2 linked regions of the Macaca fascicularis genome follow. The protein of the gene in region 1 purifies or fractionates together with the protein of each later gene. This does not show direct contact. Links are inferred from orthologs where the notes say so. Each region holds a gene or a part of one and is shown on either strand. Other genes may lie near its edges. The genes, in order: NFKB2 and FBXW7.

Region 1 (4,589 bases):
GGTAATATTCACCTCCTAGGGTTGTTGGGAGGGAGAATGAGAACTTCTAAAGTACTCGAACCTAGTGCCTGGGACACTATATTTGCAGGCAAGATGAAGGGGGGTGGGGAAGTAATAGGAAACAGACAGCCCAAATCGAGAGCCATAATAGTCTCTCTTTACTTAGTGCCAGTGCAGGCCTGTGATTCTGTTCTTAAAAACGTCTGGGGCAAGCTGCAGGAAAGATCCCAGATAGCCTATGTTCTACCATAAGCCTAAGGGAGGAGGACTCCAGGCATGGAGATTACTCATGGCACCTGCTAAGGAGAAACGCTACTGACCAGAGAGAGGTCCACTCATGTACTCGATACTTGGTGAATTCCTGTCCTGACCTCACTGCCTCTAGAAGTGTTCAGATGGAAACTGGAAGGTCTATAAGAGGCAATTTGGCAGGACACAGTGGCTCACGTCTGTAATCCAAGCATTTTGGAAGGCCAAAGTAGGAGGACCACTTAAGCCCAGGAGTTTAAGACCAGCCTAGGCAACGTAGTGAGATCCATCTCCACTAAAAATTTAAAAATTTGCCAGGTGTGGTGGTGTGCACCTGTAGTCCCAGCTACTCAGGAGAGTGAGAGAATCAGTGCACCCCGGAGTTCGAGGTTGCAGTGAGCCATGATCGCGCCACTGTACTCCAGGCCTGGGTGACAGAGCGAGACACTGTCTCAAAAACATAAATAAATGAAATAGGCCGTGTGCGGTGGCTCACGACTGTAATCCCAACGTTTCGGAAGGCGGAGGCCAGCGGATCACCTAAGGACATGAGTTCGAGACTAGCCTGACCAACATGGTGAAACCCCAACTCTACTAAAAATACATAAATTAGCCGGGCTTGGTGGTGGGCACTGTAATCCCAGATACTCGGGAGGCTGCGGCAGGAGAATGGTTTGAATCCAAGAGGCGGAGGTTGCAGTGAGCCAAAAGCGCCTCACTGCATTCCAGTCTGAGACTAAAAAAAAAGAGGCGATTTCCCACATCGGTGGAAATTTGAGCTGTTTAAACTCTGGATGCCTTTTTCAGTTCTAATATTCCAGATCTCCGTGGTGGATAAACACTTAATTTCCCTTCTCCTGCGCAGAGCTCCTGAGTCCTGGCCCGCTGGGAACCTATCACTTCTATAAAAGTCCGAGGTCCGGACTGTCTCTCCCGGAACCCTGAGGCTGATGAGACAGAGCGAGACAGGGGCCTGGGCCAAATGGAGTCTCCTCGCGGCCTCATGAAGGCCGCCAGAGGGCGCCCGGGACCGACCGCAAAAGCAACTTCCTTCCTCTTCCGCTAACTTCCCGGCAGCCCGCCGCTCAGGGTGGGGGCCCCGAGGGCTGGGGCCGTCGGCTTCCCCCTGGGGTTCCCCCGCTTCGGAGAAAGTCAAGCATTAGGCGCAGCCAAAGCCGAGCTGCAGCGGAAGCTCCCGGCCCAAGGTGGCGCTGGGTCAGCGGGTACCTTCTCGGCGGTCCCCTAGCTGGCCGAACTAGTGGCCTGTCGCCCCGCTGGTGGCCTGTCGCGCCTGGTGGCCTGTCGCCCCGCTCCCTGCCCTGAGTGAGCCTGTCCCCTCTCAGGGGCGCGCCCGAGTCGCTCCGGGTTGGCTGCGCCAGTCCAGAGTTAAACTTTCAGCCAATGAAAAAGGGCGCGAGGCGCGACGCACGGAAACGTCATGGGAATTCCCCCCTCCGGGGGGCCGAGAAGGGGCTTTCCCGGCCCCAAGCCCTGCTTGCCGGCGAGGTGTCGCGACCGGTCCCAGGTGGGTCGGGCGCGGAGAGAAGCCGCAACCAGAGCCTCCGCCACGGTGAGTGGCTGGGTTCAGACCCCTGGGTGGCCGGGACAAGAGAAGAGCGGGAGGAGGGCCTTTAGCGGACAGCGCCGGGGGCTGGAGCAGCAGCAGCGGCGCGCAGGCAACGACACTCAGATCCACGTCGACATCCTTGTACAAAGACACACGGACCCGTACGTACACCTGTACCTGTGCTGGCGCACACACGGCAGCGTCCGTGCAGTCGCACTCGCACACACATGCACACGGAGACGTGCCCACCGGTGCACTGGTGCCTGCACCCACACCCTTCACGCACAAACTCAAGATACGCTCACCCGTGTCTGTACATCAAGACAGGCGCTGACACACACCCACACTGAGAAGCTCAGGACTCACCTGTCTACACACATGCTCGCTTGCACACTCATGTTGACGCCATGGACACACAACATGCACCCAAGCACTAGAGCCGAAACACACTTGTGGAGCTGTGATGGAGACACACGCTTGTATTGGGTGGGGAGCGTGCAGAGGTCTCCCTGTCGCCTGCGTGCCCAGAGCCGGTGCGGTGTGGAACCAGCTACTGTTGCGAGGTTTGGGAAAAAGAGGAGCCGGAGGAGAAGACACTTTTCCCGCGGCCCCAGAATCGTGTTCTCGGGGCAGAACCCCGGGGCCTCCCACAGGAAAGAGCCCCCGCCTACAGGCTGTTCGAAGGGGAGGCCATCAGACAGCAGGAATGTCCCCCCAAAAGCCCCCGGGTTTATCAGCCGTGGCCTCCCTCCTGGCAGAAATTCCCAAGGTTGCTCCAGACCGGGGGAGGGGAGCGGGAGGCGGACTTGGCTCCAGACTGCCAACCTCCCCACGGCCGTGAGGGACCCTCCTGTTCCCTGCCCTGGAGGGAGGAGGGGGCTTAACCCCCACCGCGGCTCCCCTGACTCTCCTCTCCCTCTACCCGCTGAAAAGCAGCGGGAACCCGCAGACTGGCGAGGGCCTCCCGCCCCTCCCGTCGTGAGGGCGGGGCCACTGGCGTCATTTCCAGGCCCGCCCCCTCCGGCCCCGCCTCCCCTTGGTATTTTCGGGACTTTCCTAAGCTGCTCTAACTTTCCTGCCCCTTCCCCGGCCAAGCCCAACTCCGGATCTCGCTCTCCACCGGATCTCACCCGCCACACCCGGACGGGCGGCTGGAGGAGGTCGGACCGTCCCCCAAATCTGGGCCCCCATCTCCCGCCCACCCCCATTTAGATCTGACCCCCTCCCCCACGCCACTCCTCCCAACTTTAGGCGGGCGCCTAAAATTCTGGGAAGCAGAACCTGGCCGGAGCCACTAGACAGAGCCGGGCCTAGCCCAGAGACATGGAGAGTTGCTACAACCCAGTGAGTCACGCTGCCTGCCCCTGACCCGGCCGGCCGCCCCCCGTGTCTGTCCACCTGTCTGCCCGAGCCCCCTCTGCTGCCATACACCTGCATGCTCGCAGATGCTCTCAGCCTACCAGTCTGTCCATCTGTCTACAACTCTGCCTCCAAAAGGAGCTTTCTCTTGGGCCTGAGGAGGAGGGGGAGTGACCACTGAGGACTTGGAGATGGGAGGTGGGGCCGTGGGGGGCGCTGAGAGTTGGATGCCACCCCCAGTCTGTCTCCAAACCAGGGTCTGGATGGCATTATTGAATATGATGATTTCAAATTGAACTCCTCCATTATGGAACCCAAGGAGCCAGCCCCAGAGACAGGTCAGTAAGTTCACTAACCTCCTCTAGTCCTAAAGGTAGGGGGAGGGAGAGCATGTGCCTTCTGCCTGGGGGAAGGGCTGGGAGATAGTGGCTAAGCAAGGTCTCCCTGTCCCCAGCTGATGGCCCCTACCTGGTGATCGTGGAACAGCCTAAGCAGGTGAGTAAGCAAAAGGGAGGGTGTGGAATGGCTTCAGCTTTGGGGACAAATGGGGTAGTGGTAGCTGGCAGGCCATGGAGGAGCCATTGCCCAAGGAGGCCACAGGGGATTGGATGGTCACTGCTGCTGATCAGAGTGCTGTAGTTGTGGTTCAGAGCAGATACTACCAGGCACTGTGGTCACTGCTGGCCGGGGTGGTCTTCCCTGATCATAATGCTACTCTGCCCTTGGACCTTCAGAGAGGCTTCCGATTTCGATATGGCTGTGAAGGCCCCTCCCACGGAGGACTGCCCGGTGCCTCCAGTGAGAAGGGCCGAAAGACCTATCCCACTGTCAAGGTGAGCCAGGATGGTGCTGGAGGGTTGGCTAAGTGGACAGCACGCCCAAGGCCCTGACAGTCCCTGCCTCTCCTAGATTTGTAACTACGAGGGACCAGCCAAGATCGAGGTAGACCTGGTAACACACAGTGACCCACCTCGTGCTCATGCCCACAGTCTGGTGGGCAAGCAATGCTCGGAGCTGGGGATCTGCGCCGTTTCTGTGGGGCCCAAGGACATGACTGCCCAGTAGGTGCCCTCTACCCCTGGCCCCCACTGATATGCCCCTCACTCTCTGCCAGTCCTAAGCCCCAGCCCACCTCCATGAGCTTAGCATCTGACCAAGGGGAGAGAGGTAGGTTGGCCCCAAACCCAAGGGCCCAAGTAGAAACTCCAATGGCTTCCTTGAGGAAGTAGGGCTGAGCTGAGCCCTGACAATGGGAAAGGCACCTCAGGAAGAAAGAACTGCACAGCCAAAGGCCTCTGATTCTCCCGTCTCCTCAGATTTAACAACCTGGGTGTCCTGCACGTGACTAAGAAGAACATGATGGGAACTATGATACAAAAACTTCAGAGGCAGCGGCTCCGCTCTAGGCCCCAGG
Region 2 (3,811 bases), on another chromosome or scaffold:
GAAATGTTCTATATTGTTTACTAAAAAGCATTTTAATGCCTTGGTGGCATCAATACTTTTTTGCAATCATTAATGATATTTAGAATGTAGACATATAACATGAAAGTAGAACATAATATAGATTGTACAAATCTTGTTTTTTCCACTATTTTCCCCTGCAGAATGTGAAAACCTTTGCATCTTCTGATAGTCTAGCCAAGGTCCAAGAAGTAGCAAGCTGGCTTTTGGAAATGAATCAGGAACTGCTCTCTGTGGGCAGCAAAAGACGACGAACTGGAGGCTCTCTGAGAGGTAACCCTTCCTCAAGCCAGGTAGATGAAGAACAGATGAATCGTGTGGTAGAGGAGGAACAGCAACAGCAACTTAGACAACAAGAGGAGGAGCACACTGCAAGGAATGGTGAAGTTGTTGGAGTAGAACCTAGACCTGGAGGCCAAAATGATTCCCAGCAAGGACAATTGGAAGAAAACAATAATAGATTTATTTCAGTAGATGAGGACTCCTCAGGAAACCAAGAAGAACAAGAGGAAGATGAAGAACATGCTGGTGAACAAGATGAGGAGGATGAGGAGGAGGAGGAGATGGACCAGGAGAGTGATGATTTTGATCAGTCTGATGATAGTAGCAGAGAAGATGAACATACACATAGTAACAGTGTCACAAACTCCAGTAGTATTGTGGACCTGCCCGTTCACCAGCTCTCCTCCCCATTCTATACAAAAACCACAAAAGTGAGTATATTCATTATATTGTTAACTTGAGAAACTTTACATACCTATTTTAAGTAATGAAACTTTCCTCTCAGTCTTTGTATTACTAAAAATTAATCTTAAGATATGTAATAATAAAATGAACTAGTTTTTTGTTTTACAGAAGGTATTGGAAAGTATTAACAAGTAGAAATACTGATAATGGGAGAATCTGAGTACAAATGGAGGGAAAGTAATTGAGCCTATTACTATGAAAAGTTATTAACATCAAATTTTTGTCTAAACCTTGAGTTCCGGGCAGGGATTAGTAGCTTGTGTGGGGTGTAGAGGTTTTGGGTGAAATATGATTTGTGTAAATCAAGTAATGAAGAAGCTTTTTATTTACAAAATGCAGCTGCTGGAGTGGGCTGTCTATTTACAAGTGTCACTCTAAGGCATAAATTACTCAAAAGTTGCCTCAAATTAGTTCTAGTTATTTATCATTTGAGAATTAGAAATAGTGGATATTCATGTAGAATAGACTTACAAGTTAAACTATATTTTGGAAAGGAACATTTTAACTTGAATAATAGCTTACTTGTTTTATAGACATTAAAATAATGTCTGTGGTAGTTCATCCTCTTACTCCTACTTGCTTATTTCTTACATTTTACAGTGATTTTAGGCCATAAACAATATACAAACTGATTTAACTGATTTGACATCATATCATTTAACCTAACTTGACTTGGAATGAAGTGTCTTACACACTTGGATTAATAATAGTTGAATTGCTAAATCATGTTTTACATCTGCTTGTAAAACCTTGACTTTCTAAAATGTGTTTGGCCCTAATTTACCTAGCCTGTCTGCAAGTCAGATTATATTTAGCTAGCATGATCTAAGAAGGACGTGACATCAAGTAGTGATTTTTCATCCATTGTATCATCCCTGTCTCAAGATGTTGAAGCAGTAGCTTTGGATCTCAGCCAGATGGCTCTACCGCTAACAACTATACACTGCTTTGTTAAGGCTCAGACCTTATATAGTGTCATTCCTCCCTTCTGTCCCCCCAGTCTTAATCCCCTTCTTCAAGGTTACTATATCAAAAGGGAGTTTATACAGCTCTTTTTTTCCTGAGGGTTCAGTTAGAGGAATAGGGGTTTAATATTTAAGTTCCAATTGCATTATCTTATTTCAGAAAGAGGTTCAATCAAAACTAAGCCTTGCAGAACAATGCAGAGTTATTGCTGATTTCTGCTACACTTTAAATTAAAAGCAAAAAAAGCTAGTTAGACAAAACTTTATCTTTTTCCAAAAGGAAAAGTCATCCTTATATTCTGTAGGAAACCTTCCAGTTCACAAGTTTGACAGGTACTTCATCTTTTCTTTACCTTCAAGATAAAATCATTAACAGAAATTTTATGTGTGTGATGATTACCTCTTTAAAAACGAAGTATACTGAATTTGTTAGTTTTTTTTCCTAGTGATTCTGAATCAGGAATAACAGTTATTCTTGTACATGCAAGATAACAAGAATGGACTGGGCCCTAACCATAGCAGGGATAGATGTGTGTATGCATTTGTATATATACACATGTACAATATAGATGTGTATATGCATTTATTATATAAGTGTGTATGTATACTTTTTGATATATTGTTGATCATGAGATGATTTGCCTTCATAAGTATGGCATGAAGAATACAAAGCTATTTGATTGCCAGGACAGTGATGCCCTTCTATAAGTACGATTTCAGTCTGAAATTTTTCTAAATGTTTTCCTTTTTGTCCATTCCTAAAACCCTTCTGCCAGAGTATTCCCGGAGCACTTTCAACAGCATTTAGAAAAGTCGCTTAGTACTGCTTTACCTAAAAAGAAAATGTCAATATTCTCCGTCTGTAGATGTTTTAATACAATAAATAGAAGCTCTCACTAGTTCAAGTACTTTATTTTGGAAGAGCTTTAAATTCTTGATCATTATAAAGTTAAGACACTTCTACAGACGTTACCCTAGACCATAGTTTCATTCAAGTCTTAAACTTTGACTTTTGAGAGTAGAGGCATAAGAAATGAAATCCCATTTTTAAATGTTAATATAGGATTAGCTTTCTACAAATTTTACTCAGGATACCTTTCAAGTTTTATTTTTTGACGTTCTCATAAACAAACCCTGTGGACAGCTAGACTGAATTTTATCCATCATCCCTAAATATGCTGCATAAGCAAATATGATATTAATGAGAAAAAAAGATGTTTAATTCTTCCTTGCATTGCTTTATTCTTTGAAAGCATTTTGAAAACTGTCAAAACTCTGAGGACAGTTTTTCCCCCCTTGTCACTAAAGGTTTGTTCTTTTGGGAGCCTTATGGCAAGCAATATATGTTAAAAATTCCATACTGTCTTAATGTTAAAAGTCAAGGGAAGTGATAGTCAAGAATTGCTATTTATTAAGCTCACACTGTTTGAAAGATCCTATGACAGATACATAAACAAAAGTTACAGAGAGGCCAAATGATCCACCCCAGATCACACTAAGTGATGAGAGATTTTAATCCTGATTTGCCTAATTGCAAAAAACCCCTTTCTCTTTCCATGTACTATGCTGCCCCCTATGGTAGAATATGACAAACATCACTAAACAAGATTTCCAATATAGTCATAGAGACTCTGGCGTGTGATGATTTTCTAATACTGTGTCCCATTTGAAGTGATCAGAGCTACCCTATAGAAAGGACAGAGAGCTCAGTTAACTACTTTTCTTTGTGGCACTTAACAAAACACTATTGAAGATTTTACAGCTCAAGGCTAAAGTAATCAGGAAGAAATGACGCTATTAAAAAATCTGATAGAGGTCATACTCTCTCGAATCCATAAAACATGCTTTTAAAGCAGAGGTTGTGTGCTGGCTGTTCCTCTAAATTTGACTAGCCTGTAAATTCTAGAGTCAACTTGGTTCTCCAGATATAAATGTCTGTCTCTTCAGTTTTTACTTCCTTTGTCAACATCCTTATCATATATATTTTTTAAAAATTGTTTTCTGAAGAGATGCCCAGCTCATATTGAAGAATCTTTGACATATTTTATGCAGATATCAACTAATTTTCTACTAACATGAAA

The links.
Region 2: the proteins of NFKB2 (region 1) and FBXW7 purify together in Homo sapiens (affinity purification with mass spectrometry; 7 studies listed by BioGRID and IntAct, with this or other methods). This does not show direct contact. The link is inferred for Macaca fascicularis from reciprocal best matches to the Homo sapiens genes NFKB2 and FBXW7.

Annotation. Positions count from the first base shown.
Region 1 is NC_088383.1:111,402,350-111,406,938, forward strand, and holds the start of NFKB2 (nuclear factor NF-kappa-B p100 subunit), read left to right. Parts: upstream 1-1,713; 5' UTR 1,714-1,819; intron 1,820-2,844; exon of another isoform or gene 2,845-2,976; intron 2,977-3,067; 5' UTR 3,068-3,139; coding exon 3,140-3,160; intron 3,161-3,431; coding exon 3,432-3,513; intron 3,514-3,629; coding exon 3,630-3,670; intron 3,671-3,909; coding exon 3,910-4,008; intron 4,009-4,084; coding exon 4,085-4,236; intron 4,237-4,491; coding exon 4,492-4,589. UniProt on the Homo sapiens protein: NF-kappa-B is a pleiotropic transcription factor present in almost all cell types and is the endpoint of a series of signal transduction events that are initiated by a vast array of stimuli related to many biological processes such as inflammation, immunity, differentiation, cell growth, tumorigenesis and apoptosis.
Region 2 is NC_088379.1:157,327,161-157,330,971, reverse strand, and holds part of FBXW7 (F-box/WD repeat-containing protein 7), read left to right. Parts: intron 1-161; 5' UTR 162-230; coding exon 231-731; intron 732-3,811. UniProt on the Homo sapiens protein: Substrate recognition component of a SCF (SKP1-CUL1-F-box protein) E3 ubiquitin-protein ligase complex which mediates the ubiquitination and subsequent proteasomal degradation of target proteins.